4 linked regions of the Drosophila melanogaster genome follow. The protein of the gene in region 4 purifies or fractionates together with the protein of the main gene of each other region. This does not show direct contact. Each region holds a gene or a part of one and is shown on either strand. Other genes may lie near its edges. The genes, in order: hpo, Fgop2, Strip and Cka.

The links.
Region 1: the proteins of Cka (region 4) and hpo purify together in Drosophila melanogaster (affinity purification with western blotting; 2 studies listed by BioGRID, with this or other methods). This does not show direct contact.
Region 2: the proteins of Cka (region 4) and Fgop2 purify together in Drosophila melanogaster (affinity purification with western blotting; 2 studies listed by BioGRID, with this or other methods). This does not show direct contact.
Region 3: the proteins of Cka (region 4) and Strip purify together in Drosophila melanogaster (affinity purification with western blotting; 4 studies listed by BioGRID, with this or other methods). This does not show direct contact.

Annotation. Positions count from the first base shown.
Region 1 is NT_033778.4:19,492,578-19,499,993, forward strand, and holds hpo (hippo), read right to left. Parts: upstream 4,280-7,416; 5' UTR 4,172-4,279; coding exon 2,884-4,171; intron 2,827-2,883; coding exon 2,105-2,826; 3' UTR 1,419-2,104; downstream 1-1,418. Other genes in the region: Rep (Rab escort protein), read left to right, coding at 1-840, 898-1,298; CG15120 (uncharacterized protein), read left to right, coding at 5,225-5,489, 5,583-5,761, 7,042-7,213, 7,324-7,416. UniProt on the Drosophila melanogaster protein: Plays a key role in the Hippo/SWH (Sav/Wts/Hpo) signaling pathway, a signaling pathway that plays a pivotal role in organ size control and tumor suppression by restricting proliferation and promoting apoptosis.
Region 2 is NT_033779.5:6,941,674-6,948,390, forward strand, and holds Fgop2 (fibroblast growth factor receptor 1 oncogene partner 2), read right to left. Parts: upstream 3,617-6,717; 5' UTR 3,461-3,616; intron 3,397-3,460; 5' UTR 3,324-3,396; coding exon 2,376-3,323; 3' UTR 1,505-2,375; downstream 1-1,504. Other genes in the region: ihog (interference hedgehog), read right to left, coding at 4,080-6,717.
Region 3 is NT_037436.4:3,320,540-3,330,555, forward strand, and holds Strip (striatin interacting protein), read right to left. Parts: upstream 8,333-10,016; 5' UTR 8,331-8,332; coding exon 8,160-8,330; intron 8,088-8,159; exon of another isoform or gene 7,904-8,087; coding exon of another isoform or gene 7,712-7,903; intron 7,645-7,711; coding exon of another isoform or gene 7,321-7,644; intron 7,015-7,320; coding exon of another isoform or gene 6,814-7,014; exon of another isoform or gene 6,804-6,813; intron 6,174-6,803; coding exon of another isoform or gene 6,093-6,173; exon of another isoform or gene 5,726-6,092; intron 5,498-5,725; exon of another isoform or gene 5,099-5,497; coding exon of another isoform or gene 5,063-5,098; coding exon 4,161-5,062; intron 4,098-4,160; coding exon 2,387-4,097; 3' UTR 2,371-2,386; intron 2,304-2,370; 3' UTR 1,945-2,303; downstream 1-1,944. Other genes in the region: Dpm2 (Dolichyl-phosphate mannosyltransferase subunit 2), read left to right, coding at 1-112; CG12016 (uncharacterized protein), read left to right, coding at 206-1,177; Gtpx (glutathione peroxidase homolog with thioredoxin peroxidase activity), read left to right, coding at 6,814-7,014, 7,321-7,644, 7,712-7,903; CG14961 (uncharacterized protein), read left to right, coding at 9,603-10,016.
Region 4 is NT_033779.5:8,027,861-8,035,049, reverse strand, and holds the start of Cka (connector of kinase to AP-1), read right to left. Parts: upstream 4,330-7,189; 5' UTR 4,211-4,329; exon of another isoform or gene 3,475-4,210; intron 2,991-3,474; 5' UTR 2,793-2,990; coding exon 2,409-2,792; intron 1-2,408. Other genes in the region: baf (barrier to autointegration factor), read right to left, coding at 5,088-5,234, 5,317-5,442; CG7367 (uncharacterized protein), read left to right, coding at 6,671-6,812, 6,874-7,036, 7,111-7,189.

The sequences.
Region 1 (7,416 bases), on a different chromosome or scaffold from region 4:
CGCGACGCTTCAGCTTGGATCTATGCCCGCGCATTTTATACGCAGCCGGGGAGCTGGTGCAGTTGCTCATCAAGTCGAACATCTGCCGCTATGCTGAATTCCGAGCCGTGGACCATGTGTGCATGCGCCACAATGGTGAAATTGTGTCCGTGCCCTGCTCCCGTAGCGATGTCTTCAACACCAAAACACTGACCATCGTGGAAAAGCGCTTGCTGATGAAATTTCTCACCGCCTGCAACGATTACGGCGAGGACAAGTGCAACGAGGACTCGTTGGAATTCCGGGGACGAACGTTTCTGGAATATTTGCAGGCGCAGCGGGTGACCGAAAAGATATCGTCGTGCGTGATGCAGGCCATTGCCATGTGCGGCCCCAGCACCAGCTTCGAGGAGGGTATGCAGCGCACACAACGATTTCTGGGCAGTCTGGGCCGCTATGGCAACACACCCTTTCTCTTTCCCATGTATGGCTGCGGGGAATTGCCGCAGTGCTTCTGCCGTTTGTGCGCTGTTTATGGTGGCATTTACTGCCTAAAGCGAGCCGTTGACGACATTGCCTTAGATTCCAATTCGAATGAGTTCCTGCTGAGCAGCGCAGGGAAAACTTTGCGTGCCAAGAATGTGGTCTCTGCCCCTGGCTATACACCAGTTTCAAAGGGCATCGAGTTGAAGCCGCACATCTCACGTGGCTTGTTCATATCGTCCAGTCCCCTGGGCAATGAGGAGCTGAACAAGGGAGGTGGTGGTGTAAATCTTCTTCGACTACTTGACAATGAAGGTGGACGGGAAGCCTTCCTAATACAACTGTCGCACTACACGGGAGCCTGTCCCGAGGGTTTATGTAAGAAACTTAAGAAAATATGTGAATTATTCCTTTTTAATGAATTAATTTTTACAGATATCTTCCATCTGACCACGCCAGCGTTGAGCGAGGATCCAGCGTCTGATCTAGCCATTTTCACTAGCCAACTCTTCGATCAATCAGACGCACAAATAATATTTAGCTCATACTTCACAATTGCTGCCCAGTCTAGTAAAAGTCCCGCTGCCGAGCATATTTACTACACCGATCCACCTACCTACGAGCTGGATTATGACGCGGCCATTGCCAATGCTCGCGACATATTTGGCAAAATGTTCCCAGATGCCGACTTTTTGCCACGAGCCCCAGATCCAGAGGAGATTGTCGTGGATGGTGAAGACCCTAGTGCCTTGAACGAGCACACTTTGCCCGAAGATTTGCGGGCACAATTGCACGACATGCAGCAGGCAACTCAGGAAATGGATATACAAGAGTAGTCATACTAAAATAAAAAGGAGGTTTCCTTGGTCTACATATATCATTACTTATTACAAAATTTTCTTAAGTATCTTTCGAATAAGTTATATATTGTATGCAATTTTTTGATTCATATATTCCTATATATTTATTATGTAAATTATTTATAATTGCTAAAAGTACTAGGTATATATAAATGTTTAAATGTGAGTGTTTCTGTGCATTTTGCTTTGATAAATATATGTTCGAAAAATATGCATTCCAATGCGTATAAAAATGTTTCTCCTTTATAAGTATTGCTTGACGGGTTACTGTTTTTATCGCACGAAGACAGAAAATAAGTGTTTTAGAGATAAAGGTTAATAGTTACCAAGGAAGAACGAATATTATAAGTCTTATTAAATTATGATAAGGCCTGGGCAGTTCACAATACGGGCAGCTACAATAAACGCAAGATAAATTTTATTCGAGCATACCTATTTATATTAAAAGACAGATCAATGAAAGCTAGGATATAAGAAACCAAGCATAAATTTGATGAAATCTAACAGAAAATATGCTTTCGTGCTGGAAGATACTGCCGATGACTCCTCTTTTCTGTTTTCACTGCATTTTACAATAAAGCTTTTGTGTTTTCATTTCTTGTGATTGATTTTAGACCCTTCCACCAGGTTAAATTTGCACAATGCACGAATAATTTCTAGAGGATACAGATGATGGGTCTGTAAGATTCAGTATTCATCTGCAAACTTAACCCAATGTAGAGGCAATTGAGTGAGTTGAGATTTCATAATCAGTTGTCTTGCGAAATTGTGAGTTGCTTTACCTATATCTTAATCAGATTATTATTGATGTTCTGCTGGCGTTTGCGCTTTGCATTCATGGCGTCAACAATTGGCTGCCGCTTGGCATTGTATTTCTTGTTTAGCTGTTCGATCTCCAGCTCCATTTCGTGATCGATGTTGCACAGCCGCTGGTTCAGATCGTCGAAGGTAAGGAACTTGAGGAACTCAAACTCACCCTCAACATAGGCGTGCGATTGCGTATGCATATGCTGATTCTGATATGCGGGCGGCGGTTGAGCTGGAGCCGCTGCCGGTATTCCCTGCTGTCCCATTGGCGCAGCGTTGCTGAGCAGCAGATTCGGTTGATTGTTGAGCGCGATGAGTTGTTCGTTCATCAGGGGATAAGCCATCAGAACTTGCTGCTGCTGCTGGTGCTGCTGCAGACCATACTGATTAATGGCGGAGATCTGCTGGAACTGCATTTCCATGTTGTGCTCCCAGTTGTTCAAATCGTTGGCCCCGCTTGCCAGATGCTGTTCATCCTGCTGTTGTTGTTGCTGCTGCTGTTGTTGTTGTTGTTGCTGCTCCGCTGCTGCCGGAGAATACTCTGTGGCTATGGGTTTTTCATCGCCACGGCCATCTCCCGCATTTTTGCGATCGAAGTGCTCCAGGAACTGCGGCCTGTAGCGGTTTCGCGGCTTCTGGTCGTCGTTGTTTTTGGCCGTTGTGGAGTCGTCCGAATCGGAGTTGATTACCATAGTGCCTGAATAACAGACAATACAATAACAAATGGCCAGCCCTTTCAAAATCATTTACATACCCAAGTTCGACTCCAGCTCCACCATTGTGCCGCTGTCAACTGCCGGCATGTCCAGAGGAGATGCTGCCGAAGAGGCCGCTGCAGGAGCAGCTGCCTTGGACAGGTTCCTTAGTCCACCCGGCCCCAAAGTGCCCTCATCCACACCTTGCTCTGCATGCGCTATCATGGTGGCATCTGAGGCTGAGCTCTGTTGGTATTCACCGAACTTCTCCGGCACCAGAGTACCTGGATCCTCCATAAACGCGTTGTCCGTGATGTGTTGTTGCATTCCGTTTTCCTGGGTTGCCAAGCTCTTCGCCTGACTAGCAGCCAACACGCCCCCAAAACTGCGATTGGCGCGTTGCTGCTCGCGAATGGCACAGGTCTCCTCAAGCATAGGCTTTAGGATCGATCGGTGCTTGGCGTTGCGTATGAACTCGTGCTCCAGCAGTTCAGTGGCCGTTGCCCGGTCGTCTGGCTCCTTTACCAGGCACTTGCTCACGAAGTCAATGAACTCTGTGCTCCAGCGATCCGGTTCCCGGAACGATGGTGGTGGCTTCTGCGGAATCATAAAGATGGCTCGCATGGGATGGATCTCACCGTATGGGGGCTTTCCCTCGGCCATTTCCAAGGCGGTGATGCCCAATGACCATATGTCTGCCACACAGTCGTAGCCAATCTCCTCAATCACCTCGGGGGCCATCCAGAAGGGCGTTCCGATCACAGTGTTTCTCTTGGCCATTGTGTCCGTGAGCTGACCAGCGACTCCGAAATCGGCCAACTTAGCATAGCCTTCGGTATTGAGCAGGATGTTGGCCGCCTTGATGTCGCGATGGATCTTGCGACGCAGATGCAGATAGACCAAGCCCTGCAGAGTGTCCGACAGAATAGTGGCTATCTCGTCCTCCGTCAGCGTCTTTTTGCGCAGACGCATAATGTCGGAGACGCTGCCGGCGCCACAGTACTCCATGCAGATCCACAGGTCATACTGCTTGAAGTAGGAGCCGTAATAGCGCACCACATACGGCGAGTCGCATTGTTGCATAATGGATATCTCCTTAATAATCTCGTGCAGGTCGGACTCCACCGGCACCAGCTTGATGGCCACAATGGAGCTGCTTTCCTTGTGCACTGCCTTGTAGACTGATCCATAGCTGCCCTCGCCCAGCTTGTACATAATGTCGAAGACCTTTTCCGGCGGCTGCAGAAGCGACTCCTCCGACAGCTTCTTCAGCTTGAAGAAGGAGCAGGAGGAGGATATGTTGGGCGATTTCATATCTACAACGCTGGTCACCTCTGGCTCAGACATTGCGAAAAATTTTCTGATTTAGCACGAGAAAACACAGATAATTGGCTATTCACAGCGACATATCACACTTTTGTTCTTTATTCGCACTCGATCGCTAGCCAACACTAGTAGTTCTCAGTGCCCTCGGCACTTTGCAACACGCCACCCGCACAGAACAGGTGCGGCGTTGCCAGACAAACGCCGAACACCGCAGAATGTAAACAAAGCACCAGTGCTGCATAGCAGAATTAGCCATTTATCGATAAGTTCTCTTGGCGCGCTTTTTAAAACTTAATTTATTGGCTCAGAATTATAAGGTTAAAATTAAATTTACAACTCACGCATGCTTACCTCTTTTTTGAAATCTTTGCTTGATGATGGCATTTCTATGTTTTTCTCATGGCTATTGATTAGATTTATGACGATTTACTTTGTACTTTGATTAAAAAGATTTAGTAAATTCTGATTAACATATAATATTTATAATATTAAGTTGTTTAGGTAATTTGTTTCACTTTGAATACGTTTTAATATTTATTACTTCTGTATATAAAATTAAATTGCTTTTATGGATCGATTGTTGTTGTTCATCAAATAGAATAAAATGTTGGCATGATTGACATGAGCTGTGCCAATTTGTCGTTGTTAATCTGCGGTTGCGCCCCCAGAAAACCCAGATCCCCTTCATTCCGATGAGTTCGCTGACCTGAAATGCCCAATAAAAGTGCTTGGGAAATCTACATGCAGTCCGGGGACTTTGGTTAGTGCATAGTCGAATGATAATAACAACATAACTGGCGCCTATAAGGCTAACCGGCTTGTTATTGTAACAAATGCGACTGGAAGAGAGCACCGCAGCGAATGCGAGCAAGCGGCTTTAGCTCCAACTGCTGGCTTATCGGTCACTAAGCCGCCCCAGGCCTTAGCAACGTGCTCCATAGAAACGACACGACACCCAACAGCAACAGCAAAAGCAACGCCAACACCAGGAGTGCCAGCCTGGCTACAGAAATTCCTTCGCTCGGCAGTTCGCTGTTTACACTACGTGGCTGCACATCGTCGCATCAACCGGAAATGGCCATGGCCCAAACGGCACGCACCGCGACGGCAAGGCGTCCCACGCACGACTACCACAGGCCGACGCGCTCCAAGTCCGCCAATCCGGCGCAACTGCGTCCACTTAGCGGCATCCATGGAGCGGCGGTCTCGTCGCGTCCGCGCTACGTTCCACCCTTCTCCATTCAGTCGCAGCAAAAGAACACGGTCGTCATCGACGGACCCATCCACGAAACCGCCCCCAAGACAGCCAGTGCCAGGAGTCGGGTGCCCAATCCGAAAAGTGCGTTAGTTTGTTTATTTGGGTGTTTCGCCCATCGGTATTTGTTTCCCTAATGACATCCCTGCCCACATTTGCATTTGTACTGATTTTCAGTTCTGAGGCGCCAACAAAAGTCCATGTCCACCTTCAACTTGGGCATGGGTCTTAATGGCTGCTCCACCGGTGGGGCTAATGATCCGGGACGAGGAACCCTCTTCCGAATGTACTTTGACCGCGGCGACCTGCCCATAAAGATGGAGTACCTCTGCGGGGGCGACAAAATCGGATGGACGGTGAGTGGTGGGAATTATTTGGTAGGGCGCTAAATTCCATTAGGTTCGTTGTTAGTTGACTTATTAATTATACTATATATATGGTATTAAGTTATATTGTTCGAAATTTGGATAGGTCATACATTTAAACTTAATTCTTTTTAAGCCCTTACATTCGGGTAATGATTTATTTTTGTAACCATAGCTAGAATTTTCCATATGTCTGTTGGCAAACTTAAACTTCAACTATACAAATGTGAGTCAATGCAAATAAAAATCAAATGAAATTGCACGACTGTCACTAGAAAGGGGTAACCTTACCACTCGGTGACCCATAGACAAAGCCCATATTTGAATTTAGCTCGAGTTTCGTACACCTGCGTGTCCAATTATTTCAAGTGTTGCAGGTGAAAGCAAAAACCGAGTAAATAATATGCCATTGTCTATTTCCGGAGTTAGTAGAGCTCCACGGCTGACGGGCAAGCGATTCCGTCCGGAATGCGACTACTGACATTCAAAACGTCGCACCGTCCAACTGTCAGTCAATTTCCCATGGAACTCCGCTGCAATCGGAAAGTTATGTGTAACCAATTCCCACCCACCTCGCATGAGTGTGTGTGTGACCCCTTTGGCTGGTTCAATGTCACAGACCTTGGATGGCACTCCATATTCGATGTGGAGTCCACATATGCGGCGTATGTCATTTGGGTGGTGCGTTTGTTTATCTAGGCCGAAATGCCGTCGTGACAGGAGAGTGATATGTGAGTGACACTGCCTGATTTACGTCACGGGGTCGAAGGTCGATGTTGGGGAAACCCATATGTGAGGCTCACGCAGCTGCGATGCCAGCGATGTCGCCTTTGACTTAAATATAAAGTTGCTGTCTTCTTAAAATCAAAGTAAAATTCCTATTCTGAGTCATTCAGTCATATATGCAATACAATCTGGTTAAGATAGTGGGTTATATTATAACCCTTTGTTAGCTCAAATCAACTAAGCTAAGCTGGTAACTATACTCAAAGCAGACTCTCGAACAAAGATTAGTCTAGACTTAGCACTGCAAAGTCTATAGGCAGGTACAGGCCCATTTCTCGATGTGTTCTAAAAATTTTCCACTGACAACGTAAGCAAACAAAGAGCATCTTAATGGAAATCAGCTAGGGCGCCTAACCGGCATGGCGTGCAAATGTACACTTGCAAGACTTGCGCCACCGCCGGTACACGAACCAATTTCGAACTTGGAGCGGCTCTATTCACCTTTGACCCGCCAACGGTGTCACCTCTTCCCGTATCTCGCCTAGGTGGACATTGAAAAGCTGGACTACAGCCTCTATCTGCCGCTCTTCTTCGACGGACTGGCGGAGACGAAACATCCCTACAAGACCTATGCCCGCCAGGGGGTCACGGATCTCCTCTTGGCCGGGGGCGAGAAGATACACCCGGTGATACCGCAATTAATATTGCCGCTGAAGAGTGAGTACCAGGGCATTGGCTGGCACGCAAATGCCTCGAAGTTTTTCGGTCTAATTTGCACCTTGCCAATGCGAGCACAAAACCAAAACCAAATACGCCCCCATTTGCAGACGCATTGAGCACACGAAACCTGGAGGTAATGTGCACGACATTGAAGATAATCCAACAGCTGGTCATGTCCTCGGATTTGGTGGGACCCGCCC
Region 2 (6,717 bases), 1.1 Mb from region 4:
TAAACTTTGACTTTTCTAATTCAATTTCAAATCATCCTTCATATCTGTCACTTCAGTCAGGCATAAACAATCGAATGGAAATGGTAAATATAAACAATAACAAATATGTATCCATCTATTTGAGTATTTTTAGAGCGATCTATGAGTAGAAAGAGAGCGAGATAAGCTGGCACAGGTGGAAGCTAGTTGCGCAGGCGATTTTCCGCCGCTTGCGCATGTTTTTTGTTCTTTTGGCGAAAATGGCGAAACTCAAACGAAAGAGCGCGATGCGAAGAGAAAGGCGAAGAGAAAGCGCGGAGCTTTCACCACTCCTTTCTCTGTGCGCTCTGCTGCTGCGATGATTGCAAATCCCTAGTGCGTTTATAAATAATTACCAGCGTTTTAACCTATTTTCATCTAAGGCGCTCTGTTTTTCGTCGGCGCTGGCACTTGCAAAATGTGTGACTTAATTTAGAACGCAGTGGACTTACACGAAATACTTCCGCATTTAGAATAATTTGCGGCTGGACGACGGGGAATGGGGCCAGCCTCTTGGATGTGGAAGTGGATGTGGATGTTGATGGTTGCGTAACCGTCGGGATTCAGTGCGTTTCGACACGGATTATACAGCAGTTTGGAGCATTGGTGTACATATGTAGATTCTTACAGGGATTGGAATCCCCAAAGCCTTTCGTTCACTTTCGATCACACACACACAAACACTCGGTTGCTGCTTGGTTGATTTAATTTTGGAATATTCACTTTATACAAAACATTTACGGCCACAGAAATTGGCTGTGTTTTATAAATAGCATAGTTTTCTTCTTGCTAAATGGCAGCGCACTTCCCATAAATCTACCCAGACGATTTTCAAATGCAAGACTCTCCGGAAATATCGTTAGATTTGGATCAATAGCTTATTATTAGAGGGATATATCTTTATATCAACCATGCGATCCAGGCAGTTTTCAATTTTTCACCCGATTCACATTCATGTACAAAGGCCAAGCACGTATGTGCCTATATATTTATATAGCTTTAATATAACCGTCGATTGCCCGAGCACTCGAAATACTTATATAGATGGCTGCCATGCGAACCGGGCGCAGTTCCTTGGCACTTTTTTTTCGGCTGCGAACGCGTTGAAAATCGACGAGAAACTAAATTTAAATTATTTCTGAAAGCTTCAACTACCTACCAGTCGTGCGAGAAAAGTGTTTTCCTCAAGAGAACCGATATTTTGGCGCAGAGAATCGATGAGAGCGATTCGAAAATTATTCAAAAATATTCAAGTCCAAGCCAATTGAAAGTTTCAGCCATAAATCTTTACGGGTATCCATATAATATTACTTTTACACTTCAGGTTCCATATTTATCAAAATTACAAAAATGTATTTGATAGAATTAAAGAAAAAAAACACTGTAACTAATAATAATAATAATTACTTCAATAATATCTATTCAAAAAATTGGTTTTCCTAATTTTCCATATTGATTAATAACCAAATTAAACTTAAACAATACAATAATGAAATTATTTAAAATTTTTTAAACCCCAATATTTTGCCTTTGGAATCTTAAGCTTCTAAAATTATAGTTATTACTGCTGTTTTTTTTTCTCATGGCAGATTCTGTTCAACTTGGTTCATTGTGTAATAAGTTGACTTTTTGAAAATTAACATGACTATATCATAAATCTTCTGCTCGATAACCATTGATAACCATTGTGGCAAATGTTAATTTTAGTGGCTATACTTTATTCATATTTAAACTCCACACAAGTATGTGTGTATATCAAGTTCTGATCAGCCTTACTCGATAAGCAATGAGTCATATCCAATGAATTATTTAACCGCTTCTCTGTTTGGCTGGGATTTAGAATGGCCAAATTTAAAAAGCCTTCTAACAAAAATATTCAAATTCATGGGAGGGGCGCATAATAGATGGGATTCTACTCGTAACATCTTTTGGGAAATAACTTAAGAATTAGTTAGCTTACGGAGTAGCAATCTAAAGCAAAGTTACATCTTATTTAAATACACTACTGAAATACATTTGTATGTTAAATTAAATATGCTCATTCCTTTGGTTATTCCCCGATTTGTATTGGAATTTATTTAGCAAACCATAAAATCGACAGGGTACATTGTACATTACATTTGTGTGGGTGTGAGTGTGTTTACCTCGTTTTAAATAATAAACTTCATTGTTCTCAATGCGTATGGACAATATGTTGAAATTCGTATTATGTATAAATTACTTAGAGATTATCAATCGCTAAGAGCTAATGCAGGTTATGTGGGCCCTCTTCGTGCGCGGCCTGTTTTGTGAGTGGGTGAGTAAATACGATTCAAATGAAGACCAAACGAATCAACAACGTTGCACAGCAGCACCTATCATGTTGCGGGCGCTACTGTCGCCTGATCCTCGACAGATTCGTTAGACGTCGTCGCTGGCGGCGGTGCACTGGTTGTGTTGACTGCAGGTCCGTTATTGTTATCATTCGCCAGCGGCTCTTCCCCCGGCGGCGCCGTCTCCAATGTCACACTTGGTGCTTGTGTTTCACTTTGACTATGCACTGGTGCAGTGTTAAATGAGTTCGTGGTGCCGGCGACTTTAGCCGGTTGCTCCGGACTGCTGTACATCTGGATAACCGAGTTGTTGTTCATGTTTTCCACCGAGGCGCCCGATATGGACAGATCGTCGGCGGAGTCGTCCGCCGTACTGTCCGTTTGCACAGCCTTCTCCTCCAGCAGGTGGTCGCTCTCACGAATCGGTCGCTGCGAGGAGCCGTACTGCTTGGAGATTTGCAGCAGCTCGCGCAGCGTTTCGTTCTCCAGACGCAGCTGGGATATGGTCTGCAGCTCTCGCTGCACGACACCGTCATCTACACTTGCAGCTAGCTGCATCACTGCTGCCATTTCGTTGATCTTCTCGCGCTGCTCCCGGATCACCTGCCACATGCGTTCGTTGTACAGCTCCTTAAAGCTAAACTTGCTATCCAGGACCTTGGAGACGGTGTGCTCGCGATACTTTTGCATCATCAGCTCCATGGCACGCTCGTAGTCCTCAATGAAGATCTTTAGCTCGCGATTCTCTTTGAGTATCTCCGAGCTGTTGATGTTTTGCTGCTGAATGCGATTCACCATGTCCGCGTTGGTCTTGTTGTTCGAAATGCGGTTGAGTGATTCAATGTCGTCCTGATACTGGCGAAGGCTCTCCACCAGCCGATTGTTGTTCTCCGCCTCCTCGAGCAGCGCCGTGCCCAGGGCGTCCAGGTCCTTCACCCGACTGGCCATGCGCTGCGCATCCATTATAATCTGGCCCACGGATAGGTTCGACATCCTGCCCAATTCAGTCCAGTTGCGATTTTTGGATTTGTATTGTTTTCGGGGGCCAGGCCCTCTGCTGCTGGCACTGCGAAAACAAAGGGAACCGCTTAAATTTGTGCACTTTCTGGGGCCTACGAGCAGTGTCTTACGTTCGGTGCGGGTAAGGTGCAGCTTCGTCCCTAGCGTAACAGCTTCATTTGATTTTCCGGCCAAAATATGTAGGAATAGAAACGATTTTAATAGAAATTTTGACGACGACCCAATTATTGGCTGACAGCTTATTAAATCCCAAACGCCATCGGATGTTGCACAAATCCCTAACGCCACTCATTGAATGCGAAAAAATACTGTTTCAACACTTGATATACCGCAAATATACCAAAGATTTAAATTATAATTTTGTTTTTTAACTTTTAGCTTGAGATGTCATTTTTTTGGCTAAATCCTTTATGTTTATGTTAAAAAACTCTTTTAAGGTTAAAAGGTGAAGCTACAAGCTTTATTGTCATTTTTGTATAGGTCATTAAGAAGCTATCAGTACAGATTTTGATCTTATCGCGAAAAATGGAAGACTTAGCGTAGAATGGACATAATGCTATGTTCTTAAACGATCATGCATACATAAATCTAGTTATGTCTATTTAAGTACCTATTTAAGTACAAACAGCAAAGGTTTTGTCATTCAAAGTGGTAGATAAAACAGAGGTAGAGGAATAGCATGGTACATCGGGCGTAGGGATGCACAGACTAAAGATCACGAGATTGCGATTACACGCCAACGCTGTTGAGGCTGCCGGAGGAGAGGTTCTCGGAGCGACTGGACAGACGGGGGCGTTTCATGAGTACACGACCCGGCTTGCCGGGATTTTCGATGGAACCCGCCTCTGCGGATTGATTTAGATTGTTGTTGTTGCCGTTGTTGGAGCCATTGCTGCCGCCAGCACGTTCCAGCGTGCGTTGTGAGCGACGCAGCGAGGAGGAGGACATCCTGCGCAGCGTGGGATCGTAGTCATAGCTCGACGGCCGCTGATAATAGGGCGCATCCTGGTCTGTGTCATTCTTCTCCTCCAGCGCCTGCTGCTGCTGCTGGGCGAGTGGATTCAAGGTTATGTGGATGTGTCGTGTTCGCTGGCGCTGCTTGGTGGGCGAGCAGTTGCCCAGCGGCACAAAGTCATCTCTCAGCTCCGCCATCCGTGGCTTGTTTGGATTGTTTCCCCGGCTTCTGGAATTCCTACGCCGGCAAACACAGAAACAGGTGCTAATCAGAAGCAGAATGAGCACTGCCCCGCCGCCGATTGTTCCCGTCAGCATGGGACTCATATTGAATGTCTCGTTATGACTGGGAGTTGTTGTATCGCGGTCGCCCATTTGCAGTGTTGGCTCCTCTGTGGTGCTGGTTTTGGGACGTTGGGTGCGCCCCTGCTTAAGGGCACTAAATTCGGATGCAGAGGCGGCACTGAAGGACTGCAACTTGAACTCGTACATGGTGGCCGTCTCGAGGGGTGCTATTTTAAAGCTTCTAGCATGGGCTCCTTCAATGGTTGCCTTGAAATATTCCCCTGCCGAGGACGAGGGTCGATAGTAGGCGTAGTAGCCAGTGATCAGGTGTTCATCCGCATCGCTGGCTAGACTCCAGTGCAGCACCACAGCGGTTTCAGAGTATTCCTCGATCTCCAGAAGCTCTGGCACCGGCATCGGATCAAGTGCTGCACCTGGCTGCAGGTAAAATTTCGCCGAGGTATTACTTTCCTTATTGTCATTGTTGGAGTAAACGGCTAGGATGCGGAAACGATAGGTGTGCTGAGGCTTCAGGTCCGTCACCGAAGCCGTGAAGCTCTTGCCCAGCTCGGAGTTCCACTTCGGTTTTCCATACGGTATATTATCGTTGGTTGTCTGCCAGTTCTTGCGCTTGCCAACCATGCGGTACTGAACCTTAAAAATGACAATTGGTAACCCATCGTTTCGGGGCACCATCCAGCGCAACATTACGGATTCATCGCTAAGTCGGGTTACATTTGGAGGAGTCGGTGGATACATCTGCTTCTGCCTGGAACCCTGATTGGGCTTGGGCCTGTGTGTACCCCCCGATTCCCGGGGTTCCTGAATCTGCTTGGGATTCACCTGCAGCAGTGTACCCGCACTGTGCTCACCAAGTCTGTTTCGTGCAAAGCATTGGACATAGCCCGCATGACGCTTCAAGACGCTGTGCAATATCAGGAAATTATTGGAGAGCTCAGCCTCAGAATCATCGATGCTGCTGTGACCGTTCAGCAGCCAGTAGATCTCTGGCGTTGGCACTCCTGTGGCCTTACACTCCAACTTCAAACGATCGCCCTCGTTGGTAAGATCGGCCCAGGGTGGTCGCACAATCTGAGGCGGCTGCTCGACATGCACTTTTATGTAGTGTTCTAACGCAGGCCGCACTCCATTATCTTGAAAGCAAATATAGGTGCCAGCATCATTAACTCGGGTGTTGGATATCTCCAAAGCGTGTCCAAATACTTTCGAACGCTTGTTCTTAACAGCTCCCACGACATCGGGACTGCTCCAGACAACCGTCGGTGGCGGTGAGCCAACTCCAGGACACAGCAGCAACAGCGAACTCCCTTCGCGTATGGTAATTTCTTGGGAGCTCGGCTGTCCCCTGAGCAAGTGTGGAGATTTACTCTCCGACCTCTGCTCTGGTGTAACCTGTAGTTGCAGCGAGCCGGGCAGCTGAATTCTCTCGCCAGAGGCAGGATTGGTTGCCTGGCAGGAATAGCTGCCTGACGACTCGGAGGATACATTGCTTAGAAAAAGATTTCCATTGGTTCCGATGAACTCCGGTTTGATTTCCACTCCGTTTCGATAGTAGGACCAACTGGCAGATGGATTCGATTGCACCTGTTGTCCGCAGGACCAGAGCACAGAGTTTCCAGCAGACACCCGCCATTGGAGGGGTGATTCCGATTCCTGAGCGTCCACCAGGCTAGTGCTGGCCAGCTCCAATCGAGCAATGGTAGACGTGACCACCAGCGGACCGAACCAGCCAACGCATCGGTACTCGCCTAGAGTGTCTGGTCGGACGAGCACCCTCAGTCGCGAGATGGCCGCCTCCTGGGAGACATTCGCTTTGGCCGTGCCTGTCTTAAGGTACTTGAACCCCGCTCCCGGAGATCTGCTGGACCGGTGGCTCCATTCGAAGCGCTCTGGCTGCAAACTGGTCTCGCACTCCAGCACCACCTCGTCTCCCAGGGGCGCCACCAAAGATTCGGGTGCGCGAAGAATTCGCACGCCAGGCGATGGATGCGCGGGATGTGCGGGATGTGCGGGATGTGCGGGATGTGCAGAGTGGGCAGGATGGGCGGGGGACTTCTCCAAAACCGGAATTGCTTCGAGCCGCGACGTCAGCAGCGAAAAGAGCAGC
Region 3 (10,016 bases), on a different chromosome or scaffold from region 4:
ACCGCTGAAGTACGCTTTCATTGTGCCCACCGTGTTCGGGGTGATCTTCCTCGGCGGCATCGCCGCGTTCTCCTTTTACCACATCTGGAGCCTGAGAGTGAAACGTGATTAAGGGGGTTATCCGGGGGGTTATCTTGCTCGGTGCGAACGCGAACGTACGATTCCACTGAAAAACAAGGAAGAGCGATAGTCAGTCGTGGACAAGATGCCGCAGTGGCTGGTCATTGGTATCTCGGGAGTCACCTGTGGTGGCAAAACTACGCTAGCCCACAGCCTGCACGACTACTTCAAGGGTCTGAGAGGAGCGCCGCTGTGGAACTCGCCGTACACCATTGGCGAGGTGCGTCTGATCTCGCAGGATGACTACTTTCTGCCCGTGGAGGACAAGCGACATCAGCGAAATGAGGCGCTCAACGCCATCAACTTCGAGCTCATCACCTCGCTGGACATGGCCAAGATGCTGAACGACATAGCGCACATAATCAAGGGGCGCCATGTGGCTCCCGAGCCACAGGAGCACCTTGTGACGTATGCCAACTTCGAGCACTACGCCCAGCAGTTCCAGCAGCAGTACCAGTACAATGCGAACTACTACAAACAGGCCAATGGCGGGGTCTATCAATATCCGCCACAGCAGCACCCGAGACATCACCCCCATCACCAGCAGCACCACCACCAGCACCATCAAATCCAGCAGCAGCAGCAGCACATTATGAGCATCAATGCGCAGATTGCCGCCCAGCTGAGGGACAAGAAGGTCAATTTCCTCCTGGTCGAGGGATTCATGATCTTCAACCAGCCGGAGCTGCTGGCCCTGTGCAACATTAAGTACCACTTCCATCTGCCATATGAGAAGTGCTTCGAACGGCGCAGTAAGCGCACATACGATCCACCCGATGTCACGGGCTACTTCGAGCTCTGTGTGTGGCCGCACTACGAAAAGAACTTCAGCGAGTACCGCGACTGCAAGGACATTACATTCCTCAATGGCGAGATCGCCAAAGAGAAGATCCTCGCGTTCGTCCTTCATCGCATCGTCCACTACTTCAAGGAGCGCTGCGAGGTTCCAGCTCCTGCTCCCGTCGTCTGCCCGCCGCAGCAGAAACGGTTCGGTATGCTCTACATGGGTCCGAGCAATAACAACGTCATGCCGTCGGCGTGTCCCATGGAGCAATAGTTTGTCCTTGGATTCAGAGTACAATAATTGAATATTGTATAGTAGTAGGATGTTAAACGGTTCAAAATTGTTTGGATTACTTCTCCGAATCGTGGCTAAAATTCCCATATTACGTTATAGTTGTAAGCTACTCTAAGGGTGGTTCGATTTTAAATTGTTAAAAGTATGATCTAAAATCAATTATTTAATTCAAATTAAAAATGTGAGTTTTTGGAACTTGAGCAAATGTTAAGCACCGCAAAGTCCAAAGAAAAGTGCAGTATTGTTTAGAGAATATTTTGATTGTTTGATTGCCCAACCTACAACTTCCACGACCAATTTGCTTACAGTTTCTAGCTTCTTTTTACGGAACAATCGAAACAAATCGACCCGCCCTAGAATACAACTATTATTAGTTAGTCTTTATTTCGTATTAAGATAGTTATTATGGGTGACATGGTCTCTCTTGTGGAGAATGCTCTTGTAACCAGATTGTGAAATGAAGAAACTCGGTTCAGGAATTCATATTTAGCTGTGCTAACTATTATATTGTATTGTTTACTATTACGTCATGGAATTTAGAAAAACCCCAACGAGGCATTTGGTGTGGGGCGTTTTTATGGAGTCGAAAAGTTATTGTACTATATAATGGATATTTATATATGCACCTTGTAAATACCGTAGTGTATATTTACCAAATTAAACCTAGCTTTAAGACTATGACCTAAAAGAATTATATATTTTTTTCTTGTGCGAAACAAAACACACATACGAATAAACAGACATTTAACCTCAAGCCAAGTGTCGTTTTCGAACTAGCAAATTTGTTTATTCCGCTACAGAAGCCGATTGCCGCGATCCGTTTCAAGGGCTCGCAGAACAGGTAAAATAATAAATATATAAATTAAAAAATACAATCATTACATATACAGGCTTGTCATCGCTATGGGTATGGTATTCGCGTATGCTAGTTAGTGAAGAGGAGCGCAGCGGAGGCCCGTGGCTTGCCAAATTATTGCCAATTCAGTGAGTAGTTGGTGTTTCAATCGTGGTCGGGCTACATGGATTATATCAATGTACTTCTTAATGCTTACAATTACGTTAATAACTTCTTGCTTTTATGACGCGCATGTGGATATTAGAGCAGCTGTAATTCAAAAAGGAATCACGTAAATAAAAGTGTGACGGGGCACATGCGGTATGCAGTTGCTCACCGATGGCAGCCCTGCCCTAGAGGGCGTCCCAGTCGGTCTGACTGTTGTAGACCTCCTCCTCCAGCCAGACCGCGTAATTGGCCTTGAAGTAATCCGTCAGCTCGACCTTGCGATCCCACCAACCCGAGTGACCGAAGAAGGCAAAGTCCGAGTGGGTAAGGATCTCGTCGCTGGGAAAGCCACCCTCCACACCATAGTCGTTGAGCTGCTGCTGCTGGTTGTGGCCGCCATTGCCACCGCCACCGTTGTTTCCATAGCCATTTGCGTCGCCATTATTGCCACATCCATTGTTGCCCGCCATCATGTTGGATTGCTGGGCGTTCTCCGCATTCTGAGCTGCCGTGCCGTTGTTTCCACACTTCTGGGTGGCTTCCGGATAGCGTCGCAGGTTGAATCGATCCACGCAGGCCCGCAGCGTACACTCCTCCGCCTGGAAGTCCCAGGGACGCGACTCCAAGTCGTTGCCAAAGGCCCAATCGTCGTTTAGACGATGCCGCACCTTGGCGTAAATTGCACTCATGGTCTTCATATTGGACTTCCGCCACTGGCGGCCCAAGTACTTGGTCTGCATCTTGAGCAGCTTCAGCACGTACAGCTGCATCATGGCGTGGCGCACCTTAAGCGTCTTCTTCAGGATTGGTGCCGACTTGAATACCACCAGCATCATCACTCGCGAGTGCTTCCACTTGATCAGCTTGTTGAGGATGCGCAGCAGGTTTATGCAGGAGAACACGTTCCGCCAAGAGTAGGACTTATCGGACATCTCTCCGCCATACACAAAGCTATCGCCACTCAAATCCGGTTGCTCACCAATCACACACGACGGGAAATCGAGCAGAGGAATGGAGTTCTTGGTGTTCACGTACTCCGTGATTGTCTGATTGAAGAACTTCAAAACCAGCGGGATGCAGTTGGCGAACACGAGATGCTGCGACATGAACTCAAACTGGTAAACATGGTTTATCTTGAAATGCTTTAAATATAGCAGGATGATGGCCGAGACAGCCTTCACAATGATCTCCTTGTGCCGACCAATGTCGACGGTTAGCTTTGTTGATTGGGTGGCCGTCAGCGGCATCTTCCTAGGCAGCACATCGGCCATTATGTTGATGCTCTCCGTCTTGGACTTGGACGTTGGCGAAGCTGCCAGCAGGACCTTGAGAAGGGCGATCATATACTGCGGCAGGTTTGGCAGGATGGCTTGGTACAACACCTCAGCCGGGGTCAGTTTGATTTCGTCCTCGTGCGTGGAAATGGGGTTCCTAGCTATGTCCTCCTCCTTCTTAATTTGCACATCGGCCAGGCTCATATACATGTGCCGCTGCAGCGTCTTAAAGCCCTCGTGAATGGGTTGCGGCAGTCCAGCCAGACTCTCGTGGTCACCAATCAGTGAATACCCGATGAACTTATTCCGCGAAATGTCCAGAAACTGGTCAATGTCCTTTTGTCGCACCTTAGGCGTCCAGGGCAGGCGAGCCGTGATCTGTACCGGAGGCACAGCAGCGGGTGGCTGTGTTAGGCTAGGCTGGTTGTTTGGATTTGCCGTCGAGGTGGTGGATGCCGACGAAGAGGGGTCATCGTAGGGTCGGTAGTACTGAGAGAGTTCTTCCTCCCCGTTTCCGCCATTGCCGCTGCCATTGTTGGCATTATTTTGACCCTCGTTGCCGCCCATCTCCATGTCTATCTGCTCGGGCTCGTCCAAAAAACGCTGCTTCATCAGGGAGCGTCTGTGCGGCAAGGAAAATGAATGTATTGAAAAGTGTACATAAGTGATCTAAGACTCCGCTTACTTGAAGTTCCGCTTGGGATACTGGTTCTCCAGTATATCAGTAGCTGTGGCCGGCGGTGAGCTGGCTCGCATGCACTTGGTAACCTCCAGCGTGTCCTCGGTGATGGGTTCCAAACCCACCTTCAATCGATACTCGTTCTTGAGATTCTTGAGCACATCCATGCCTCCCAGTCCCAGCAGCGAAACTTTCCACAGCAGGAGGACAACCTTCTTCATGGGGAACTGCGGTGCTGCGCCACTGCAAAACCGTGTGATCATGCCCAACAGCTTGACGGCCAGAAGTTCGCCATCTGGTAGTGGTGAGTTGATTTCTTGCACAAAGGAGTCGGCCAGCTCTCTGTAGTCTTCGCTGCCCTTTTCCTTTTCATCGCGAATCGTTTCTGTGATGATGTAGAGCACAGATAGGATCACCCGAATGTCCGTGGAGTCCACAAGCGTGACGTTAGTGATCTTGACGGCCACAATGTCCGGAGAGCAGGCGCTTTCGATCTCCATGTTGAGCAGGTCGATGAAGGAGGCGAAGACGCCGAGTTGGTAGAGCACCAGCACATTGTCCCTGGTGATCTGGTGCTGCTCCTCGTCCGACTGAACCTCCGCCCAGCAGCCTTGGGCCAGGTAAAGGATGCACCGGGCGGCCTGCATGCGAAAGGATCGATCGGAGACCTCCAGCTGGTCCACCAGCTTCATCACGATGCCGCGCTGGGAGGCGGAGTCCTGCTTCTGCCAGTTGGGCGGCAGGTCGTACAGCTCCATCTGGTCCTCGAAGGCCTTCACGTTCATCTGAAACTCGCTGAACTCCGTGTAGCTATACAGTTCAGCGATCTCGTTCTGATAGCCATCCACGTCCGCGTACACGAAGTCCAGGTCGGGCCCGTCGCAGTTGGCGTCCGCATCGTGGGTGTCCTGCTCAAAGGAGTTGTTTATGGATGTGAGCATCATTCCGCCAATCCTTTTTCGCCACACAGGGATCTCTTTTGTGTGGAAGTGTATGTGCGTGAGTGTGGGCTACTCGTGTATGTGTATCCTGCGGCGGTGGGCGGTGCGCCTGGCGTGGGCGTGGTTGCTCCTGCTCGCTGGTTTTCTCTCCCACTTGGTCTTAGTAGCACATGGACGTACTAAGCAATTCGCACTGCATTTCACTGGGTAATTTCGACTGCAATTTGTTTCTCGCCAAAAACAAAAACGCACAATGGAAAAAGAAGAAAATTCGTACGACCGTTTGCTGTGTGGTCGGAAAATACCAAACAGCAAATGGTGTTGGCCGTCTGGCAAGGCCGTTCGATCGGATGTGGCAGCGACTGATGCAATTGCCGCTGCTTTAAATTTGAAATAAGGGTTCTGTTTGATTTGTACTAATATTAGGAATAGGGATTGTTTCATTTTGATATTTTGTGTTTACAAAATGATAATCAATAGTAATGATATATACAATTTGAAGCTCTAATTAAAGGCTTTTACTTTCATGCTTAAATTTAGAAAGTAGGGCTTAACCACCACACTTGGCAACTCTGGAAAAGTTGTGCTCCTAGTGTGACCAGACCAGAACATTACAAGTGCTTTCACCTACACATATAAATAAGGGTTTTTGCAAGTCGCCGGTTTCAGTTTTATTTACGCTTCGAAAGTGAGAAAGTGCCCAGTTCCATTAGTCATTGCTATTACGCCATAAGTAAGCCCAAACAATAATACCCAGCTGTCGAGATTAAGCACAGCATAATCAGCCCAAAAACACAGCTGGTCGAGGTGACAAGAATATATGTATATAGAGCAGGGAAAACAGTCGAATCGAATCTGAACTTTGCTCCCGATTTTCGCCCATATCAGCGTGAGCTTGCAGAATCTCGGCATTCGCATTCTATATTTGTATCCCTGCATCCGAAACTCGCAGCAGATCGTTGTGAAATCGTACACATAGTCGATATATAGCTCAGTAATGGCTGGCCGCTCCATCGTCCACTTTTTTCTGGGGTCCGTGGCAATCGCCCTGGGATCGTACATCTACTTCACCATGCAAGTAATTACCCACAACACTAACTATCCCTTCAAATTGCTGTCCAATCAACTCGAACAATGGCATGCATGTGCAATCAGCGACGGTAACGAGGCAGCGTCGTGGGTTACGTGGGCCAATCCTGGCCAGCTTAAAGGTCACTGTGCGTAGCCACTAGGTTGCGTGACTCACAGGGTGCTGGGATATACATATATGTACATATAGCTCTTGACTTTGACCCCGATGAATTATGCAGCGTCACTGTAACCAGAAGCCTGATAGCACCCTCGTAAATGTCTATGAAACAACATACAACTATTAGGAAACCCATTATCAAAACGTGAAATAATCTTGGATGTTTGTCGTCGGGTTGTCGAATACAATCTATACACCACATACATTTCCACACTTTCTTATTCGGAAATAAGATAGCTTTGAGCTATCTTACTACTTTACTTACTACTTGCTCTTATCTACTTAACTATTTCGTTAATCAGTAGAAATGTGGACTTGATTTTTATATTTTCCCATTTGAATTGTTTTGAAACGATTGTTGTTCGATCTGATACACAACGTACACATCCACACCAGTAATTCCTTCACTTGCCTAAGCTTTCACTAAATTTGAACATTCTGCCCGGTTATTATTTGCAGCATTTAAAGAATGAGTCTCAGGCAGTTTCAGAACATTTCCCGCCAGGCCCTCAGGTGCTACTCGATGAGGCGGACCCCTGGCCCCGTCCTCGAGCTGAGTCGCGGTCAGAGGCAGTGCCTTCGCCTCTGCACCATCATGCTTCCCGTGAGCTGTGCGGCCACGCCCATGAACGCCATCTCCTCAGCCGCCCAGCACTCCACAGCAGCTGCCGTGAGTAGTGCTGATTGCTAGTTGACTAGATCCTAACCCGTTGACTAACTCAGTTGCTTGATTCTGCGCCTAACTAAACGTTGTAGCCTTTGCCACTGCCTGTGTTCTCTGTTCTCTGTTCTCTGTTGCCTGTTCACTGCAATGAACCGCGTAGCCTGGGTCGATTTTGATACAGAATATAGTGTTTCATACCCCGATTGAAGATAAGGCTATAAATATCTATATCTCTTGATCAAAACATCGACCCAAGCCTTCACAGCCACTAGTAATTACCCAATTCTAACTCCCACTTTCTATTGCTTCCAGATCGACATGTCTGCTAACGGAGATTACAAGAACGCCGCCTCGATCTACGAGTTCACCGTGAAGGATACCCATGGCAACGATGTTTCCCTGGAAAAGTACAAGGGCAAGGTGGTCCTGGTGGTGAACATCGCCTCCAAGTGCGGCCTGACCAAGAACAACTACGAGAAGCTGACGGATCTAAAGGAGAAGTACGGCGAGCGCGGCCTGGTGATCCTCAACTTCCCGTGCAATCAGTTTGGGTCCCAGATGCCGGAGGCCGATGGAGAGGCCATGGTGTGCCACCTGCGCGACTCCAAGGCTGACATCGGCGAGGTGTTCGCCAAGGTAAGACTATTAAAGCTGCTAGCCGATTGCTGTAGACCGAGTCACTAAACTTGCCCCACCCCCGCAGGTCGATGTGAATGGAGACAATGCGGCGCCGCTGTACAAATACCTAAAGGCCAAGCAGACCGGCACCCTGGGCAGCGGAATCAAGTGGAACTTCACCAAGTTTCTGGTGAACAAGGAGGGCGTGCCCATCAACCGATATGCCCCGACCACCGATCCCATGGACATCGCCAAGGACATTGAAAAGCTGCTGTAGATGTGCCCTAGACGTTAGCTGCTCTTTTGGACTGTGTTTTCGCGTAGCTTTAGCTTGTAACCGTCTGGCCACAGATAGTCTTGTGGCCGGCCACATGCACCGCATGGTATATATATTGTCTACTCCTTACTGGTTTTGATTCCCACCCGCAAACATAATAAACGCCATTCGTGGTTACCACACTATCACCTGGGTGTTTGGCGACGCCGGGCACGTACTTTGATCGGTAGTTGGAACTGTATCAATTCGGACTTACCGTGTCAACGCTGGCGCGTTCAATCCGCTTGCTGGAAGCAGCAATGGTGTTAAGCACGTTGATCCTAGACTGGATGGACTGCATCATCGAGGATCTGGCGTTTACGGCGCCACAGCTTAACTGGTTTTTACAAGTGTCAAAAAGGAGTTTATTTTTCTGTTTCCAAGCCATATATATTTGTTAGGTGACTGTGAAATTTGGAGATGTCATATTAAGGGAAAAACGAAATTCACAAAAGAAAGGTATGATGTTTTCAACGGTAGAGCACAATTTTTGAAAACTTGTTCAACTTAATGACCACGAAAGCTCGCATTGTTTTAAAACTAATTAATCTTTGAAAGGACCTTGATCAATTAGTCTGAGTTTTAGATTTTAAAACCCATATTTGCCTTTCTCTATAATGATATTCAAAACAAGTTTGCTTTAATATCCTTTAGATATTTTTGAAAGAAAAGTTACTTTTTCTGTGAGTAGGCAATATCTGTTTTAAAATATTCCCCCTTACCAATTTGACCTTATTGGTGGTTACTTTAAGTGCAGAAAGAAGCAAAAGTACTTCACATTAACCTTTACCTTCTTTCCGAATTCGAGTGCTCCGAGTGTTCGCCAAATGCTCGCCAAACTTCGATTGCGCAAGTTTGCCTGACCAGCACCCCCAAAACCAACAAATGCGAATCCGTCAGCCCATTGGGGCGCCGATCTCGAGCTGCTCCTCCTCCAGTGGAGCAGTTCAACGTCTCGGCCGGATTTCAAGTTCAAACCAGCTGCCAATGGAGCGGCGACTCCGACCTTCCGACAATTACATGAAAATGCTGCACTCACCATTTACGGATGCCATCGAAATTCGCAGTGGAGATCAGGCGGAGAAAAACCAAACTGATGAGCTGGAGCGAAATTAAAGATCTCTATTGGATTAGCTTCTTTTACCCGAAAGAACTTTTCCCAAATTTTCCCAAGAAATTATTTTAATAAAATCGCATATTAAATGATATATCTGTGATATATGAACGAACTTAGGCCCCTTTTCTCTCAGTGCTGGTGCGTGCCACACAAGTGTGAAGCGATGACAGCAATTTGTTGAATGCATCATCGCTCAAATGCGATCGCTCGAATGCCTTTAATTGTAGAACTAGGTTAAGCATCTGAGACTCATCCCTAAACAGTTTGGCCCAGGTCAGTAGCGAAGCTATCGAAGCTATTGTCGCCATAGTGTGTATGCATTGCTATTCCCAGTGCTGCAGTTGACTTTGACACTGATCGCGATCGCGATTGCGAATGCGATCGCTCCCCCAATTTTGATTCCGAATCCACCCAAAATCCGTATAAATATGCGGAGCACACTCCACTATCGATCAGACAGCGGTCAGCTTTGGTGGTGGTCAGCAGTGATTGGACACACAGCTAGGATTTTTGACTTCGGATTGGTAACAGGATTAGAACAGGATGTTCCGAGGAGTGCTGGTGCTCCTGCTGGTGGCCTGCAGCCAGGTGGATGCGGCCACCCATGTCAACATCTCGATTGCACAGCAACCGGCCACAAATCCGGCGGATGTGAAGTACGTCGATGGTATGGCTCCGGCCGAGCTGAGGGCGGGTCCTCAGAGGGATGAGGATCAGCAGTTTCAACGCATCCAGGAGCGACAGCAGCAGGTGCTATCCCAGTCCCAGCAACAACAGCAGCAACAGGTGTCTCAAACCCAGCAGCAACAGCAGCCCCAGCAGCTGTCTCCTCGCCAGGGATTGGGATTGCAGCCGCCAGCTCAGGGTCAGTCACCTATGTCCAAGAACGGACGACTGCCCCGTCGCCGGAATCACAGCCGACGCCCCTCCATCCACCAGCAGCCGCCGAGTCCTCAT
Region 4 (7,189 bases):
ACAATGGAGGGGAAGTGGTCAGCACCCACGCTCCAACGTTGCAGGTCAGCTGAATAGCTGTGTGCTTAGCTATTGATATACATATTATTTAATTCTATTACAGCAGAATTTCTTTCATTTGGAAAGAAGTCTGCGTTATTTAACTAACATTAGCTTATCAAACAACTATCCGTATATTAAACTATGTTACTTCCTAAATGTATCATTTACGTATAACAGTCCCTATAGTTGTGGCCGCGACTGTGGCAAGCGAACGCATGTTTGTATGGAATGAGGCAAGCGCAGAACCAGAACCAGCAACAATAACAATTTGCCCATGCTAATAGTAACGAAAAGGGCGGTAGGAGGAGGAGGAGGAGGAGGAGGAGGAGGAGGAGGAGGAGGAGGAGGAGGAGGAGGAGGAGGAGGAGGAGGAGGAGGAGGAGGAGGAGGAGTGAGTGGGGTACTCTTTGTGCTGTTGCTGTTAATGGAAACATGTTGTGCATTTAAATTATCGCCCAATGGCATTTCATTTGGCTCCTTAAGCTGGCTAATTAAAAGCAGCGCGCTAATATTCCGGATATTCGAAGGCAAAAGGGCCAGAAAGGTAACAAAACACACACGCCAACGCCTTATGGAGCTGCTACACAAATCGCTCCGCGACATGCAACTACTTTTTATTTTCATTCGCAATTAGAAATTACGAATTCCATGACAAATGCGCATTTGTAACTTAATGAGCCCGAGCGGAGAAGCTCCAAGATTTTTCGCTTTACAATTTTTGAAAAATGCTGGCTAACCAAAGGGGTTACGTGGCTGCTCTTGGAATTGTCCATTGCATAATGCTGTTGGGGAAGTGACCATATTGTACACAAGGACATATAAATAGAATTATTAATATGACAAGAGCGCCAGCGGCGTTTGGTTTCTCTAATCTGTAAATGCATTTGCAAACAAATGCTTTTGCAATGGCGAAATGATTGAAAATATATTAGCATTTGCCGCGTCATTCTTGCTTACAGTGCTTTCGAAGCACAAATAATCATTTCTCAAGAATTTGATAATAATTTAAAGGTAAATATGCCATTAAACATTAAAGAGTTATAAATGATAGTATAAGATGAACCTAAATGTTCGCTTTTTTGTTTTTGTTACCTCATATCTGATTGAAATTCAACATAGAAACGTAAATGTTCTTTAAATAAAGAGTTTCCGACCACAGTGCAAGTTAATTGCCTGACAAACGCGACAGTAGGAAAAGCCGACCGAGTAGGAAGTGGAAGTGGATGCATTCATGGGAAGACCGGCAAAACTGAGATTCGTTGCGACAAGGACGTTGCTGCATTCACAGCAGTCGGCACTGACACACAAAGAGATTTGCGATGTGCATATGGAAGTATATAAATAGATCCAGGCGGCCGGGCAGGGAACGGATGCTACGACTGCTGAAACAGAGCCATCTCGGATGGCGTCGCCTCTGCCTCTGCTGCCCACCCGAACCAGATTTATTTTGGCCAAAAACGCCAAACAAGGCGAACAGGTTCATAAATCGCGGCGACAAATTTGCGTTGTCAACTTGGTTCCTTTTTTTTTGTGGCCACTTTTCCACATTATGATGATGCAAAGCAGGGGAAGAGACGGATTTGAATGTCACGTTGCATTCAGAGCGTAACGGACTGTGCCTCGTTATCGATACCGCTCGTTATCTGGCCACTTGGCAGGTGAAAGCGATAGAGCGTGGGTCGACATTGACATTGACGATGGCCATGGAGGCGCAGGGTGGCGCAGGTTGGAGGTGGAGTAATCTCCTTCGAAATTACGATAATGTTATCCAACCCGCGGTTACACTCATTTTACATTTTTTGGGGGCTTTCAGGCTTTTTGGCCATTCGTCTGCGACAAACAGAGCATAAACACTCGATGACGGCAATTGCTCAACTCGATTCGCTTGCATGCGGACATGGCGGAGGCAAGGCGGTGTGGTGGCTCCTCCTGGCCGTTTTCCTTGCATGTTCATGCATTAGCGCCTCGGAAAATCATTGAAATGGAAAGTGAGCCACCGCTGTCGATAAGCAAGGACCTTTTAAGCACTCCCTGGGCCTTGCCAAATTGCCTTGCTTTTGGTTGCATAGTATTCTTTCTAGGACAAACAATTTGCAGTTTCATTGGTTCTTTTATACTAAGCACTATACTGTCACTATCTGCACAAAGTTCACGCTATAAAGTTTACTGTAGTCCGTGAGTCCAGTACCTACTTAATCAATAGTGAATAAAATAGTGGAGGATGAGAACTAAATCAATGTTCAAACTAATAATAAGGACATTGTTAAGATCTTAAGCTGATTTTCTGATTCACCTATCTCAAAGTACGAGATTAATCGAATATTAAAGAGGAGCTATTAGCAATTCAGTATTTAAGGATCACTCACCTGCAATTCGGCCCTGTCCACGTCCCACTGTGATCGCTCCAGCTCGAAGCGCGACCACTCGTGCTGGATGAAGTGCAAGATGCCCGGTATTGTGTATTGGGGCGTTGTGGCCTGCTGGTTATTTACACCGCCGCCCACCATCCCGTTTCCGCCGTCGTCGCCGCCAACGTTGCCCATTCCGCCCACATTGGCGTTCTGTCCACCAGCGTTGAGGCCGCTGATGCTCAGACCGCCGCTGCCGCCACCGCCCAGGCTGTTCGACAGGACACCGCCGATCGAGGAATTGGCACCGCCCACACCGCCGCCTACAAGGACGCCGGCTCCTGTTGCACCGCCAACCGGCTTGTTGTTTATGCCAGCGGTGGCTCCCGAATTGGTGCCCATTGGTTCACGTCGCTCTCAGTGGCTGTGCTGTGTGCCAGGTGTTTCCTTTGCCTGCTCCGGTGATCCTTGTGCCCGCTGATCCTGCTCTCCTGATCCTCTCCTGATTCGTTGCCAGCTGTCTGCCTTCAGGTGCCCAGTGCACGGTCCTTTGTTTGTCGCTCTCTCGGACTTGTTTGTTCACTGGTCCTACGCTATATCCTGTTTGGTGTTACGTTTTTTTTTTTTTGCGTTTTTAGGTTGGGAAAGAAAAGCAAAGTTCGGCACATGAAACAAATGAGGTCATTGAATTTTCCGAATAGAAGGGCGACGAGGGTAAAGGGGGGAGCAGTCGCAGGACACTCGCTGGCTGCCTCCCTCTCGTTCGCACTCTCTTTATGTACTACACTACGTTTTCTCGCACCGGAACCGCCCCCACATTCCCCGCTCTCTCACACGCTCACACTCTCTATCTCTCTCTCTTCCTCTTTACGGTACTCGCGATTCTCTCTTTTGCGTTCTAGTGTTGCCAACGGCTTACGGGAAAAGCGTAACTTATAGCACAAAAAGCCGTAAAACAGCTGATGTAACGCAAGAGTTAAAACGTTTATCAATTTAAGCGGTGGATCGGCTGGTAATCACGTCTTGGAAAGGCGATTATTGGTAGGAAAATTAAACTGACACACACACACACACGCACACTCACCCAGCTGCAGGGAAATTTGAATGGCACACACACATACAAACGCACGGCGGGGTTTTTGGTGGGGTTCTTGTTTCTCTTCGTTTTTTTGTGCTTCAATTCTTAAACTCTTCTAAGTGTCCAGCTGAATCTTGAACTGCGTCTTTGTTTTTCTTTGCTGCCTGGGCAGCCGATGCCAACGTACTCGAACCTTATTTAATAACTTTGGCTCGTTAACTTGACAATTTTGTTTACTATTTACAGCTTTTTCCAAGGAAACGTTGTTGCTACCTTTCACAGGGTTTACACTTTTGTGTGCGAAGAGCAAACGACTATTTGGAAGGGAGATGGAGAGAGCGCGAAGCGGGCAGTTGTATTAGTCCGTAATTTTGTGCATAATTGCACCCGCTTGCAATCACTAATTAATTAAGACGAACGCTGGGGCGATGCACACAAAAAGTCGATTTGATTCGGCCGCACATCAGAATGTTTGGCCTGTAACTCTGAAATAACACACAGAGTAGCAGTGACCGCACAGCCTTTTTCCCGCTCGCACTCGCGCACCTGCACCGTCCCGTCTGCCGTCGTGTATGGCCGTCTCGCTCTGCGAGTCTATATACAAAGAAAAACACACACACACTGGCACACTGGTGTTCGCATATGCCAAAGCCGAGTTAATTTCACTTTGTTTAATCTATCGTTTGGTGTTTTTGCATTTTTTAACCGCGCAAACGGTATTTGCGCGTTTTGCGCCTCTTACTTTGCGATTTATTGCACCGCTTGGCTGTGTTTTGCAATTTCTCTCTTAATTTTCATTGGTATTCACGCGTAATGTAATTCTTAGCAGCGTGACCGCGCCGATAACGATAAAAAATACCACGGGACCAAAAATAAATACCATATGATACCACTTCAGGGAAAAGAAATCCTATTTAATACCACTCACTTTAAAAATAAGTTTTTAAAAATATATATTTTTATTTAAAAAAAGTTGTATTTATAATCAAATACTCGGTACTAATTAATTACTCGAGGACAATTAATTTTGACAAAAGGGGTTTCATTATAAAATATATATTAACCGCTTACACATAATCCCCAAACAAAACAGCGATTGGGATTTAAAAGGTTCTAAGTCCATCATTATAAAAGATCATTTCCGAAAAACAAAAAGAAATAGATTTCAAAATTAGGCGACATCAGCCCGCTGATAAAGAAACATCAAAAAGACAGAGGCTTATTTCAGCGAGTCAGAGACTCCTACTCGCCAACAATCGAAAACATAGAGAAGATATAGTCGCCAACCGATCTGCCTTCTATAGTGTTGCTTATTGTTGTCCCCTAATCAAATTAATAAAAATCTGCATTAGGCTGCTTCGCCGGCCAGCAACAAATGTTTTACACCTACTGTACTTTTCGCAGAACAGAGATCCAAATGCAGGATCGTTTCCATGACTGTACATTTATTCGGATTAGACATTAAATTACACCCTACAGCTATACATACTAACAGTGAACACGGCAAATGCTTAGCTAGCATTGGGCCACTTTCGTTGACTGCGAATAAAAATGATTGGCCGATGCCTTTAGCAGATTCCTTTTGATCGAATTACTCGGATGGCTTGTGTGTCCACCTCTTACAAGAACTCCTCGCACCAATCGTTGAGACAGTTGTAGCAATCGGATGCCTGTTTGGAGCTGGCGTGGCACACCTCCTTCATCCAGTCCTTGAACAGCTCCTCGTCCTTTTTCAGCACCAGATACTGTCCCAAAACGGTGTAGGCCTAAAACGAATGGAAATGATCGTTAGCACTTGACTGGCATTGTTTATTTGCGCACATGGCGTCATCGTATTTACACACGCACCATATCGAATCCAGCGTCCTTCAAGCGTCCACCGAGGGTTTCCCCAATTCCGGCCAGTTCCGTCACCGACTTGTTGCCCATTGGCTCCGCAACGAAGTTCCTGTGTTTCTGCGATGTGCCCGACATGTTTGTAGTTTGCTTTGCTGCTGCACGTTGCGAAATTCCAATGCTTAGCTAGATTTCAATGGCAAAATATTCGCGGCGTTTCTGAAAATGACGCACAGCCAGTGTGGCAGCAAGTGATATTTTCGAAAATGCAACAACACATCTAGATATACTAAACAAAATTAGGCAATGTAATAGGCCACGTAATTCTGGCTTTACTCATTTGCGCACCCAACAATTAACAAAGTTTAATTATTCTTTTACATAGCATTGGCAAAAAATAGAGTTTTATAAGATGCACTCAAAAATGTTTCTTTGAAATTGCGGATTACATATTTTTGTAATCTACTTAATCTACTTAGGTCAAATGCCAGCAATATTTTACATGTAAGATGTATGCTTACATGGTTTGATGTATGGTATTTTACATGACCGTTTTAGATTTTGAATACTTAAAGTTTTCTATAAATTTGAAATTTGTTATAATGTTAGTGCATTAAAGTATTGCATTTGTGAAAAATTTACATAGCCATCGCTGAAAATCTAAATAATATTTAATCTATGTGTACATAAGATGTAGCATTTTTCATAAAAACACTTATAAAAATGTAATTGTTATTGTAACTTATTTAACTAAATTACCGAACATATTTTCAAATATTTATATTGTTCCACTTTTCAATACCGGGGCAACGCACCTTAGATTAGTATGCACCGATGAACTGGGCTTAACCCAATTTAACAGCGCCGCGCTTGGGACGCCCAACTGAGTTGGAATGATAACGCCGAGACCCTTCCGACCGAGGCTTCAACCTGGCCAGCAGTCCGTCCAAAACTCCAGTCTTGATTGACACCTGGCCCTCGTCTAGCTTATCGTACGCTATAAAATCCACACACCCGATTCCCGTGGCACAGTGACGTCGACTTTGGTACAGAGATGTTAGCGCTTTGCTGGCTTTGTGGCCTGGCCCTTAGTTGTTGGATGGGTGAGTTGGGAGTTACGGGGAAACGGATATACATATGTGGCTTTGTCTCACCTGACCGAGATTCGCGCGCACACTGATGCTGAGTAATTAAAACGCTCCAGGCCACAAATTAATTGCTGGGCTGGAACCGGTTTCGAGGATTACTAATGCGTCAGCCGCCTTAATGAGCTTGGATCTGGGAAGCTGGGAAACTGGGAGCTGGGAGCTCCGATCTTTGGAATCCGGCGTCCGATCAGTTCAAGATCGACGTTTAGCTGGTCAAGATGTCCTCGAATGCGCTGGCCTGCATCTGTAATGTGATCAATCCGTGTCGCAACGAGGTGTCCACCACATTTGTGGTGGTGCAGTGGCTCATCACCGGATTCGCTGCCCTCGCCCAAGTGGTGCGACCCGTGCTGCTGCTTTGTAAAATGTTTTCAATTCGATTTAGCCATCCTTCTAAGCATAAGTTTCTGCTCCATTTTAGTTGGCATTCGTGGTGAGGTGGCTCTAAATCAGGAGGATTACAACAAAACCTGGATCTACATGCCCAATGGACAGGGTAAGCCTGAGGTGGCCTATCTGGTGGAACCTCCGCCCGAAAACCGCATCAATCTGCCACAGCTCATCAAGTTCGAGCTGTACGGAAGGTGTGTGGTTTTTTTTTATTTGATTTGAAGAGTTATCTTTCGTAGTGGTCACAATTTGAATCCTTTTATTCCAGCGACTCCAGTTCCAGTGCTGATTTCTGGATAGATGAGAATAACTTTGAGTTTCCGCAGCGCCACAAGCGAGACACCTGG